2 linked regions of the Caenorhabditis elegans genome follow. The protein of the gene in region 1 purifies or fractionates together with the protein of each later gene. This does not show direct contact. Each region holds a gene or a part of one and is shown on either strand. Other genes may lie near its edges.

Region 1 (6,053 bases):
TGGAAATATTTGATGCAATTAGAAAAGAAATTCCAGCTTCTACAGGTTTTTTGATTGGGTTGAAGACCAATTCAGTTGAATTTCAATCAGAGGGAACAACTGTGGATGATGCTATTGAAATGTGCAGGGCTTATGAAAATATTGGATTTGACTTTGTTGAATTGTCCGGTGGAACTTATGAACAACTGGCATTCCAGCATCTCAAAGAATCTACAAAACGAAGAGAGGCATTCTTCCTGGAATTCGCTGAAAAGGTAAGGACATCAGCATTGAAAGTAGATAGTCCCACTGAACCTTTTGAACAATTTCTGATAATATTTTAGTATTTTTCTGAGAGTTTTAAATTTAACTAATTGTAAGTTTTAATTGTTTTTAATTGGACATTATAGGGGCATACATATACTCTACCCCTAAATAACTTCTTTCTCGGTTCCGTGCGGTACTAATTTTTATCATGTTTTTTTTTCAGATTCGCCCAGTTTTCAAAAACACAGTTGTCTACTTGACTGGAGGTTTCCGTACAGTTAACGCAATGGTTGAAGCTATCAAATCCGGAGCCACACAAGGAATTGGTTTGGGTAGACCGATTACTGCGGAGCCAGATCTCCCAAAGAAAATTCTGCAAAAGTTGGCCCCTTCAGCTGTCTTCGATGCAATTGATCAAAGTGAATTTGTCCTCTCACTTCTTGCGAGCAACACTCAAATTGAACAAATGGGACGGAACTCGCTGAAAGAAGCAAACAATGATGTCACTTACGGACTCAGTGACTTCAGTGATGAAGATACTGTGAAAAGATTTGGAAAAGCAGTTGAAGAATTCGCCGAACTTTTGAAAATTCAAGCATCTCGAGGTGTCGCAATTCCAAATGTGATCACATTCGAAGGAGTGAAAGCATAAATTATGCATGTTTTTAATCTGTTTTTTTCAAAATAAATTTGTAGCGAGATACATAAATGTAAATAAATTATTGTTGATTTACTTGTTTCATACATCCATCATTTTTCATAAATCTGTCGAAGTTTCAGGTTAGGATTTATTTTCTTGTGTAAGGTGGGGAAATAATCTGGAATTCTTTTAGAAGAAACTGTCAAAAAAACCGTAAACTCGAAATTATTTGATTGAATCATAGAGCCATTCTACGGGAATATTGAATGAAACACAATTGATCAATGCATTGAAAAAATCCAATATTACGTCAATAGGATTTACATAAACAGCGTACAATTGACACTATCATCTACTGAAAAAACGAAGTTAAAACCTTCAAAAGTTTCCATTCACGACTGTCATTATTGTATAAAATGTATAATTTTTTCCGTACTGTTCCACGAGCTAATCGAAATGAAATTACGTTCTATCCAGATTATGAAGGTGAGAAATGACGTAGCTGTGCAAAATTTTTGAAGCTCTAATTTTGTTTGAAAATAATTGAAAGAGTTTTGATAATAGAGTTTTTTCTGAATTTTAACACCTACGCAACTATGATTTTGTCCATAATATTGGGAAAAATGTATACGAAATATGGGAATCCGCATCGATTTTTGTTTTGTTCGTTTGTGTGCCGCTTTTCGGAAGGCAGCCACATTTATGTTCAAACATTGACCGTTTTGTCGACGGGGATATCAAAATTGTTGGATTTCTTATAGTTTGTAGCAATATTTTATTTATTTTTAACAATATTTTGGTTAATTGTTTTTGTATTAATTTTATAATGATTAAGTTTTGGATTGATTCTTCTTGGTTTATCAGAAAGAAAGAAAACATCGTATGTTTGCGCATCCACTCAATTCAATGTTCGCTCACAAATGTGCCCATTTCTGTGCATTTGAAACGAATATTTTTGAACTACATATATAATTACTCGTAGAGCTCATTAAAGTTTTCAAGTGTACCACTTTTGGATATAATTCTTTGGGTGATAAAATTCACCTCGAACATTCAACCTTGGCACAAAAAATTCCTGAATTCACCTGATTTAATTAATTCATATCATTTTTTGTGATTTTTTATTAGGCCACGTTGCACAACTTTTTATGTGTATTGCTTAAGCACAACAAAAAATTTACACATCGTTTTATAATCAACTTTTAAAAATGTTGTTTTTCAGCTTTACATTCTAATCTTTGGTCATCTAAATTAACATTTTTCATTCAATGTGAATCATAATCTCTATTGAATCTCTCTTCTCACACTTGTTACATCCTATTTCATCAGAAAATCAGCTCTTTTCAAATTGAATATTCTCCCGCTTACCTTTAAATGATCTATTAATTTTTGACTCCACTCAAAACCTATGGGATGTCAACTTTGTCGACCAACAGTAACAGACGAAGATATCGATAAAACTCTGGTTATATTCCGTAAGAAAAGCACCAATCCCTTTGAAAAAACTTCTGAGAGATTCTCTTCAACAAACCCATTCGGAGGTGAAATTGGTGAGTCATTTCCTATTTTTAATTCTATTTGTATTTCATCATGTTCTGGAATGTTTCCTCCTGTTATCATTGTTCTCCTTATGCTTTTTTTTCTTTGCAAAGTGAATTGTCGCGAAATAAAAATTGATAACAAAAAAAGTGTGCGAAACTTGTCTCCGCCTCGCTTCTCTTCTTGACAGTTTTTTGCCTCGAAACTTGGAACATTTCATCGACTTTTTACTGGATCATTTCCTATTCCTCTTACAACAAAAGTATCGATGGAGTCTGTGAATAGTGAAGAACACAAAATAAACGAGGCACCCGCGCCACCCGTCATTGTCATTAATAGCTCCACGAAAGAAGAGCAGGAGGCAACACAAACCGACAGAATAGAAGGGCAAATGAAGAAAATCGATTCGGTCTTTGATGAGCAGAATGTAGCGTCATTGGAAGGTGTCAATTCAAAAAATGAGGTGGGTATTTCGTTTTACTTTTGATTAATTTATTTTTGGTATACACAAATTTTCATAATGTTTACATTTTCTCTCCAACCCTGTCACATTTGGTTTTAATTTTGCGTTTTTGCAAAAGGTCGGCTTCCACCAAAATGAAGCAGTAGCAAGAAATTTGTACTGTGCACTTTTAGGATTTTTTTTTCACCACTTTAAATAAATTGTAACGATTTTCAGATTTCCGGATCGGTATCAAGTTCCAGTTTTGAGGAGCTGAACGCAGAGACTGAAGATTTATCAGAAAGAAGTGAAGTCGAAAAAGACGAAGATCTAGGGAGAGTTGTTGAAGAACATAAAGAACCGGCACAAGTTCCAGTAGAATCGGAAACTCCGGAAACTTCTAAAAAAGAAATCCACCAAGAAGAAGAAATCTCTGAACTTGAGAAAGTTCCTGAAACAGTTGAAGAAGAAATTGAAGTCGTCAATACTTCCGTAGAAATTACTGAAGTAAAGAAGGAAGTGATCGAAGAAGTTAAGATCTCAGGCCTCAAAGAAGAAGAAACTCCGGTTCCAAAAATGAGAGCTCAGCAGCAAGTTCCAGTTGCTGCTGACAGGCCAATCAGGCGGCTTTCGATTGCAAGGGCATCTATGATGACCCCAAAAGCATCACCTAAACTTGCAAAGTATATGGAGCCGGTTAGAGGTAGATTTGTAGATTTTTGTTCATATAATGTTTTATGCGTCTACTTTTCTGCACTTTTTTAAACAACTAGTTGGAGTAATGTGGCTATCAAATTTAGTATTTTTCCTGCCAAATCCCAATGTCGATCTGCGATCGCAGTTCGAAAGTTTAAAACAACCTTTCCCTATTAGTATTGCACCCCACTATTTGACTTTGACAGATTATATAGGCAGAGGTTTTTTTCTGAATCTGAAGATGACAGTGCATATCAAAAAACCATTGCATCACTTTTCTTTGTTTTCATTCTGGAAAACGAAAGAACGCTTTTCAAAAGCATTTCCCAATGCCATTCCTTTTCTATTTGGAGTTTCTATCCTGCAGACACTTGCTATTCTTCCCACACAGTTCGATTTTCCATTGATTGAAAAAATTCCTGACAAATGGAACTTCAAACCTTTTTGCTTAAAGAGCTGCACTTTGCATTATTCTTTATCATTGTGAGCATCATTCGTTGACAGGTCACACTGATAAACATTTGGTCAGTGCCAATCAACGCATTTTCATACTCTCGCTATACAACTTTTCTTTCACATCCTCCCAGTACTGGAACACCATGTGCTCTGCTAACTTGTAAATAATTGTGTGCAAACTGTTTTATGTTTGCTCCGTTGAGAGGCAAAAGAGACAAGACCGCCCGTCATAGCGCGAGAACAAAACTTTTATAAGTATTACAAGAATTTTGACGTGACCAACTGATCGGTATCTGTTCTATTTTTTCGGGCATTTCGAAATGAGTAATCTTTTTGGTAAGTATGAACAGAAAATGATCATTTTTAGAAACTCTAACACCTAAATGGATAGCGTCCGAGTTTTTTGGAAAAGTTATAAAATTGATGATCAAGGTAAGGTTTTTAGGTTGTGAAACGGCAGACTTTTCAATCGCGTTATATTTTGATAATCTAGTTATGGCTTTCAAATCCAGAAGTTTCTGATAAAAGAACGAGAAAATCAAAAATTATTTTTAGCTCTACCTTCAAGTTTATATTTTTTGTATTTGACATTATATGATTTTCAATTTCACCTCAATTTCACGAGATATTAATCAAACGCTTGAAAGCTTGAATTTCTTGAAAATTTTCTTGTAAATCATCTCATATTCTCGTTCAAAAGGCAAACGAAACATGGTTTCCAGGTTCTATATGGTGTATTTTTTTCAAACATTTCAAGCTTTCTAGCTCCAACGTTCTATTTATATTTTGAAATTTTGATAAATTCTCCATTTTTTGAAAAATTCACACGGTCTAACGAGCTAATCATCATGCCGCAATCATCGCATCTTTCTTTTTCTTTTCTTCTTTTTTCTCTTCTTTTCGTTTCTTCCATCCCCCTACTCGAACAATTCAATGAAATAACAAATCGGTTACTTTATTTTGATTCAATTCTTTCCTCCTTCTACCAAATCGTCTCAAACATCGTCCGCTTGCGGTTGTCTCATTTTTCTTGATGCATGACCCCTGTGGAATCGATAGTGCACAAGCAGTTGCTAGAGTTCAGTGCTCCGTTGAAAGAGAAAGCGAGAGCATTCACGTTATATAAACTCAAACTAAACTTTTCTCTTCCGGCCTGCTTTCAATTTTATTTCTTCCAAAGAATTTTTGAGTTGGGTCTCTTGATTGATAGTGGTTTAGTTTTTGATTTTGACTACTGTATACCTATAGGTAATGCATTTGAAGTTTGTTATTTCCGGGTGATTTTCTTTAAAGTTTTTGACTTATTGTTAGATAGTTTTTCGGAATTTCAGTTACGATTCACACTCCAAACATGAAAAGTTGAATTAGTTCAACACAACTTTTACCTTTTCAATTTTCTATCTAGTGGAACAGGACACCGATTATACAGAAAATATTGTAGTTAGAGCAATTGAATTGTTATTGTGTTGAAATTGTATTATGTTATTTCTCAAGCAACCTCGTGATTTTACAACAAAATATTTTTATGTCGATTTCTAGTTGGAACGCAGAATACTACTATACGTCATTCTATTGATTGCATATTTTAATTATATTTAGTTACTAATTTCAATTTAATTTGACTAAATCTAACACAATTTGTCCTACTTATTCATCAGTTCCATGAAATTCCAAGCAAATATTGTGGTTTCATATTTACACTGCGACCATTTGATATATGCGCTGGTTTTCCAACAAAAACCATTCACAGCAAGCAATTCCGACAATGCTTTTTTTGTGTGTGTTCTCTTTTTTTCCCCATAAGATCTTTGCAGTTCGGCCGGTGGGTGATGGTGGTCAGTTCGCGTATTATTTTGACTTTTTCGTCTGCGGTCTACTTGGTCCTTAGACTCTCTTGTCTGGCTTTTGCGCAGTCTGTCGGTCGATCTATTTTCTCGATTCGACTACCTGATCCATTTCTAATTTTTCCTCTTTTTCTGTGATTCTTGATTTTTACGCTCTCTCGGCAATTTGTCATGTATAGAACGTCAACTA
Region 2 (6,053 bases), on another chromosome or scaffold:
CAAGCTTCGCAAAACAATCTCGAAAAGACAGACAGTATGTATGAGAGAGATTCTTCTTGTTTCTATCTCTCTCTCTCCCTCTTCCTAGGTTCTCACAAATAGAAATGCGCTTGAAGCTGGCTCTGCTGGAGACAGTGAAGCACACTGATTTGCATGCCAAACATATGATAAGAAAATAAGAGAGAGGGGCGAGAGCCGAATTCGGTCAGGTCAAGAACAAAGAGCGCGCGCAAATTTTATAGCATAAGTGGGAGAAGACTCAAACAATATCTATCACATTGTTCTTATAGTGAAGTGTCCGAAATTGGAAAACTACAAAAAACATGTATTGTCGATAAATTTACCTCAACACTTTCTATTCTATATTTTACTAAAATCTTTTGCAAAAAAAAACCTTTACAATGTTAGAGAAAAAATCTGTAGATATATTTCTCATATCTTAATAAATCTGACCCCCACCCTCCATTCCTTTCCCTATGATAAGTTTGATGTTTGACTACTGATTTGCACTTTATCGTGACCAACCGGCACTGTATCAGAAAAACAGCAAAAAAGTGAGCGCGTTCGCTTTGTCTACGAGCATCCTAAAAACAATGATCATTTGAGATTGAACACATTTCGATGTGACTGTGGAGTCGCTCAGTTTCTAGTAAAGCTTCCATGAAGAGACAGGCGCGGTTTCAGGGTCTGGAACCTGTCTGAACTATTCTCTGGCATGACATGAAATTCCTGGTGTTTGCACCACGTGCAATAGTTGGTTCTTTCAAGGCAACCTACACTTTTCGGGTCCCAAGCAAAGCAGGAGGCTCGCGGTTTCAGGCAGGCGCGGCTATTGTTTTGGTGCCTGCGTTAACATAGTTTCTAGCAACGCACTTTGAAGCTGGAACATAAGTTTAATATCTTGGTCGGCTTTTACTTTGAATAAAAGTTGTCAACCGATAAAATCTCTGTTGTCTATAAGTCTCTATAAGTTTCTAATCATAAAGTTTCAAGGTTTGTTCAGAAAAATCGGAAATTGATATTATGTAGATATTATCTTTTGATTTCAAAGTAACATGTTTTAGGGAAATACCACTTTGTAAACATAACATGAACATACTTATCACTCGACCGCCTGGCCGAGCCTGGTATCCGCCGCGGTTTTTTTTGTCAAATTCGGGGTCCCGTCTTGTCGTGAGATGAAGGAGACACAACCCGCCGCCGCCCTTGTGATCTTTTTCCTACGAACACAAACCCAAATTCCTCAACACTATTTCTCTCCCACCACCAGCAGCACCAAAATCTGATAAAAAATGACAAGTTTTGTCGTAGAGACTCCGCGAGGACAACAAACAGTGGCACGAGCAATCTCTTTCGTGATATAGTGTTGCAAAAAGATGCGCTTGACAGCTTGTCTACGCCATGATGTTTTTTTTTGCTTCCGTGTCTTTTCTAGGTGCGAAAAAAGAACAAAAAAGAAGACAAGTCTCTCCGGATTCGGAAGATGGTTTTGAATGAAAAGTGAGATTTCATTCAATTACATATGAATATGGCCAGTTACGCAAGGAACGAACTGGATGCCATCGAGAAATTAAATGGTCTTGTACTTTTGCAAAAAGAGACCGGTAAAGAAATTAGCAATGATATGCATGGAAATTATTTTCCATTTCTTTTTAATGTACGCTGGAAGTTTTAAAAACAACATTATCTTATTATCAGTTGAGCGAAAAACGCTAAAACATAAGTTACCGAATTTGCATTAACTCAATTGAATTTTTACAGTTACTTATCAAAAGCGGCTTAAATTTTTGGCTTCATCAATAGCACGGAAATTTCAAAATCGGAATGCGCTGCCAACGGATAATCCAAAAACAAAAATCGTTGTGAAGCAGTAATAGATTCAAATTAAAAGGCTTGAAATTAAAAAAAACTGAGAATAAATTTTCACAGTCCATAATATATTAGCTGCCCTGTCCAGTTCAAATTGCCTGACCAACATCGCATCGTATTTGACTAGAGGTGTCTCACTAATTGCGTGCATTGCGCACTTAGAATAATGGAGTTTTGAATTACACGAGATCTTACAAAAATGCGCGTTGTTTTTTATGTCCGGGAATTTGGATTTGGAGGGTCTCAATTTCACTTAAAAGTGGCAATGACTACAAGTGGCAGAACAGTTAAATTACAATGACTCGGTCGAATCGAAACCGAATGTGCACTTTGCAACAGTATACGAGTCGCGGTGGGCGCTTGGTGCTCGATTTTTGTTGGAAATGTGTGCATCGCGCGTCCTTCAATGTTATGGAAATATGCAGTAGTTCCGGAAAACATCATATCATTTTGAAACATTAGCTACATATTATTCGATACATGGATGGTGGATGTTTTAAGTCTTCAAAACTATATGTTTTCAAGAACAGATGTCAAGACTACTGTAGACTACTGTACTGTACTGTAAGACTACTGTAGGTCAATCACTTCCATCATAATCATAAAATTCTTGTGAAATCAACTATAAAATTACGCCACCCTCATCATCACTTCCGATTATTTGTCCTCTTTCATCCGTGCCCGGAATTCGTCCGCGCTGGTCAAGTTGAACTCGTCGACTCTTTTCTTGCCAAGAAGTTGCTCAACCCCCAAAAAACTTGATCCAGTGTTTCCTGGCGGCGGTTTTACCTCATCTGAGACGCCTTAGTGTTGCTCCCCCAAATAACCCTAAAAAAGGAAACAATAGTACTTTTTCGCAAGAGAGACCGCGACCTCGCGCGCGCCTTCTATTCTCGTGCTCATAAGCGCCGAGCTTCTATTTTCGGCCGACTTGATGTAGAAAGAGACAGAGAAAGAGTACTGACCTCTCTCCGTCTTCGCCACCTTCTCAAGCGTCGTGTGCGAATCTCCGCACCGGTACAGTATACGCGGAGAGGAGAAGAGACGAAAGATAGAAACGAAGAAGACGGAGAGGGCGGCGCGTTTCGCATACAAACCTCCCCAACCCCTCGGAAGCTTCCTATCCTCTAGCTCTCACCCTACCTGCTTCATTCGTTCTCTACCTCACCATCGGAGAGAAGACACATTTCACATCTTAACCCCCACCCACAATACCATTATTTTCAAATTCCGTCTTCTTGTTGCTCCGTTGTCTCCTCCCCTTATCTCCCACCCCATCACAGCCTTTTATCACTTTATCAGTGTTCAAATTTTCCAGCGTGGCAATTGTTGTCGAGTCCACCAAAAGAAGAAGAAGAAGATAGCAGCTTTGTTTTCCATCTGAATCGACCACCTTCTTCCATTTATCATATAATCACAAAGCAGTATACACATAATGCTGCGCAATCTCATTTTAATCACCCTCCTCGGTAAGCTTTCTTTCAAATTTTATATAATACATTCTAGATTCTGTTTATTTTTGAAAAATGTTAGCTCTAAAATTAAATACTCTCTCTTGAAAATCTATATTTTTCCATATATTTTCAGAGGCAAAAAAGTTTCTGAATAGTCTAAATTTGATCTTGAATTTAAATGGGTTTATACATAAAACTTATCAAACTTATTCCATCTTATAGTTTACTATTCAACTACTAGATTGCAAGAATTTGTCTGAAAATCTAGGCCTGAAATATCACTGTATTTTGAGAATTTAAATAATAATAATTTCCCATTCATTTTTCTTATCATTTCTCAAACCAATTTTAATTTACAGTCGCTTCTGGACATGGACAGACGCCTGTAATTGGCGGAACGTGTAAACTTGGAACTGCTGATGTTCAAATTGGAGGAAAACAGACACAGTTTTTCCTCAAGTGCGAGACGACAGCTGAGTGAGTTTCATTCAACCAAAACAACTGAAAATCTTTCATTCTTTTAGTAGTGCCGAAGGTGAAGGTGTCTGGGTTGTGAAGTCGAGAGCCGCCGCCGCTCCTTCATCAGTACCATCTGTTCCAGCTGAAAATACACAGCCACAACAACATCCAAAAGCTCGTAAACCAGCTTCCCCGAACATTTGTGGTGAGTTTCTTAGACTTCTTATTCTTCTTCATCACCAACATTTATTCCTCTATTTTAAATCGGTGGAAGCTCTTAAGTCAACTAATGAGCGAGCCCACTTCTGACCGCAAATAAACATCAACCACAGTGGTCAACAATAAGTTGAAATGAACTGTTACGAGCGATAAGGTATCTAGGAAATTGTAGAAGAAAGAAAAGTAGAAAAAAGTGGAAGTCCGACATCTCCAAGCCATATTTGCTTATGCTTCTGACAGTGTTTCTTGTGTATTTGTGTGTTTACATTTAATTCTTTTCCTTTTCCTCTCACTCAATTCAATTCATTCCAAAAAATAAAACACACACATACAAACACACAAACATCACAAATAGTGTGTAGATATTTTGCCAACGAATTCCAAAACTAGATTCACTACATTTCTTGTGACCAAATTTCATCATCTTTTCGAGGAAATTCGAGGAAAATGCGCCACTTTTGTCTGGGATCCTTTGTTTCACAATTCCATTATTTGACCACTCTAATGAACGCAAATGACCTAAATCCTCTTGATGGGAATGAAGAAAAAAACGCAACTTGCGGTGTCTTGCAATTCCTGCTTGCTCCGCCGGCTTTTGTCCACCACTCACTTGCGCACAGTGCGTTGAGAGTCGCCGGCGCGTGACCAAGAGGGGGTTCAACAAATAGGTCAGAAGGTTGATAAGAGAGTGTTGGAGGAAGGGATACGCAGCTCGCAGAGCTCACCAGTCGCCGCCGCGACCTACCGAGGAAAAGTGTTTTGTTTTTAAGAACCCCAGCGAGAAAAGACAGAAGGGATAACTTAATGAGATCGGGGATTTGGTTTAAAACTGAAATTTCATCTTATTATTCTAAATCGATCAATAAAATATTTTCAGAACAAGACAATGGAGCCCGCGAGAGCGAGGTCTGTGCCGTTTCAGCCACCTGTCTTCAGGCTCATAACGACTTCCCATCTTCCTACCTTCAATGTGACCAAACGTAGGAAACCGTTGCATAATAAAAAACAAAATGTTCAATTCCAGCACTCTCCGATGGGTCCGCAAGTCGTGCCAAGAGAACTTCTTGTTCAACTTTGAGCAACAAACTTGTATCGTTCCAAAGAGAATGAGCTCTCTCTCCCGTAAGTTGTTTTTATGATTAACCACATATTATTTCACTAATTGCTTAAACAGCATCAACATCTTCCCCATCTAACACTGAAAATCCCTGCTCGAAATGCCCACTGGGATCAGCTTGCCGCAATGGTAACTGTATCCCTTTAACAACTTCAAGTAGGTTCTAATCACACTTTTCCCGCCTATGATCTCTAACTTTCCATTAGATTTGTGTTCTGATGGTTCTCCTCCTAATAATACATGTACTCGGGATCCGTACTCTTGTCCCAAGGGACATTTTTGTACCGCACAAAAAGTGTGTTGCCCTTCAACTGCATTGCAATCATCAATTGGATGTTCGACGGTCTGCACAATCGATGAATCGTGTCCAAAAGGAATGACATGCCAGAATAACTGCTGTGAAGAAAGAAAACTACTACGACATCCAAAAGTATATCGATATGCAACTGTAGAGGCAACAAATACAATATTTGAAGTGGATAATGATATTTTTGATAGTGCTGCAATCGAATCACTCCCAACTCAAAAACCGCAGCGACTAGATGAAATTATGGCTCCAGGAATCACACCAACTCCGACAAGAACCACTGAACCTCCAAAACTTCGATGTTTGAGTAGTAACACGGACGAGGTCAATTCATTAGGTGCGTTCACTTTTCTTCCTTCCTTTTCTCATCTGTTTGTGGTCACTTTAAAGTATTTCGGAAAGAGCGCTCTCCGTTTCCACCACTGTTTACAAAGTAAATAGGAGCCTAATGAGAAGCACGCGCATTAGCTAACCACCTCATTTCATCAACTGTACTTTTATAGGCGGAGCATCATCATCATCTGCAACATGTGGAGGAACAAATGCGAATTGTACTTCTGATGAAGATTGTCCAACAACCTTCAAATGTTATCAAGGTTGTTGTAAATTGGCTGTATGTCCGAGAAGT

The links.
Region 2: the proteins of rme-1 (region 1) and chtb-1 purify together in Caenorhabditis elegans (affinity purification with western blotting, with the first as the bait; one study listed by BioGRID). This does not show direct contact.

Annotation. Positions count from the first base shown.
Region 1 is NC_003283.11:6,207,583-6,213,635, forward strand, and holds the start of rme-1 (Dynamin-type G domain-containing protein), read left to right. Parts: upstream 1-2,585; 5' UTR 2,586-2,693; coding exon 2,694-2,888; intron 2,889-3,104; coding exon 3,105-3,570; intron 3,571-4,339; coding exon of another isoform or gene 4,340-4,355; intron 4,356-6,053. Other genes in the region: W06H8.2 (NADH:flavin oxidoreductase/NADH oxidase N-terminal domain-containing protein), read left to right, coding at 1-254, 470-898.
Region 2 is NC_003281.10:9,352,597-9,358,649, reverse strand, and holds the start of chtb-1 (Chitin binding domain (ChtBD2) containing chtb-1), read left to right. Parts: upstream 1-3,304; coding exon 3,305-3,338; intron 3,339-3,682; coding exon 3,683-3,800; intron 3,801-3,847; coding exon 3,848-3,987; intron 3,988-4,250; exon of another isoform or gene 4,251-4,430; intron 4,431-4,878; coding exon 4,879-4,981; intron 4,982-5,025; coding exon 5,026-5,123; intron 5,124-5,175; coding exon 5,176-5,274; intron 5,275-5,324; coding exon 5,325-5,762; intron 5,763-5,928; coding exon 5,929-6,053.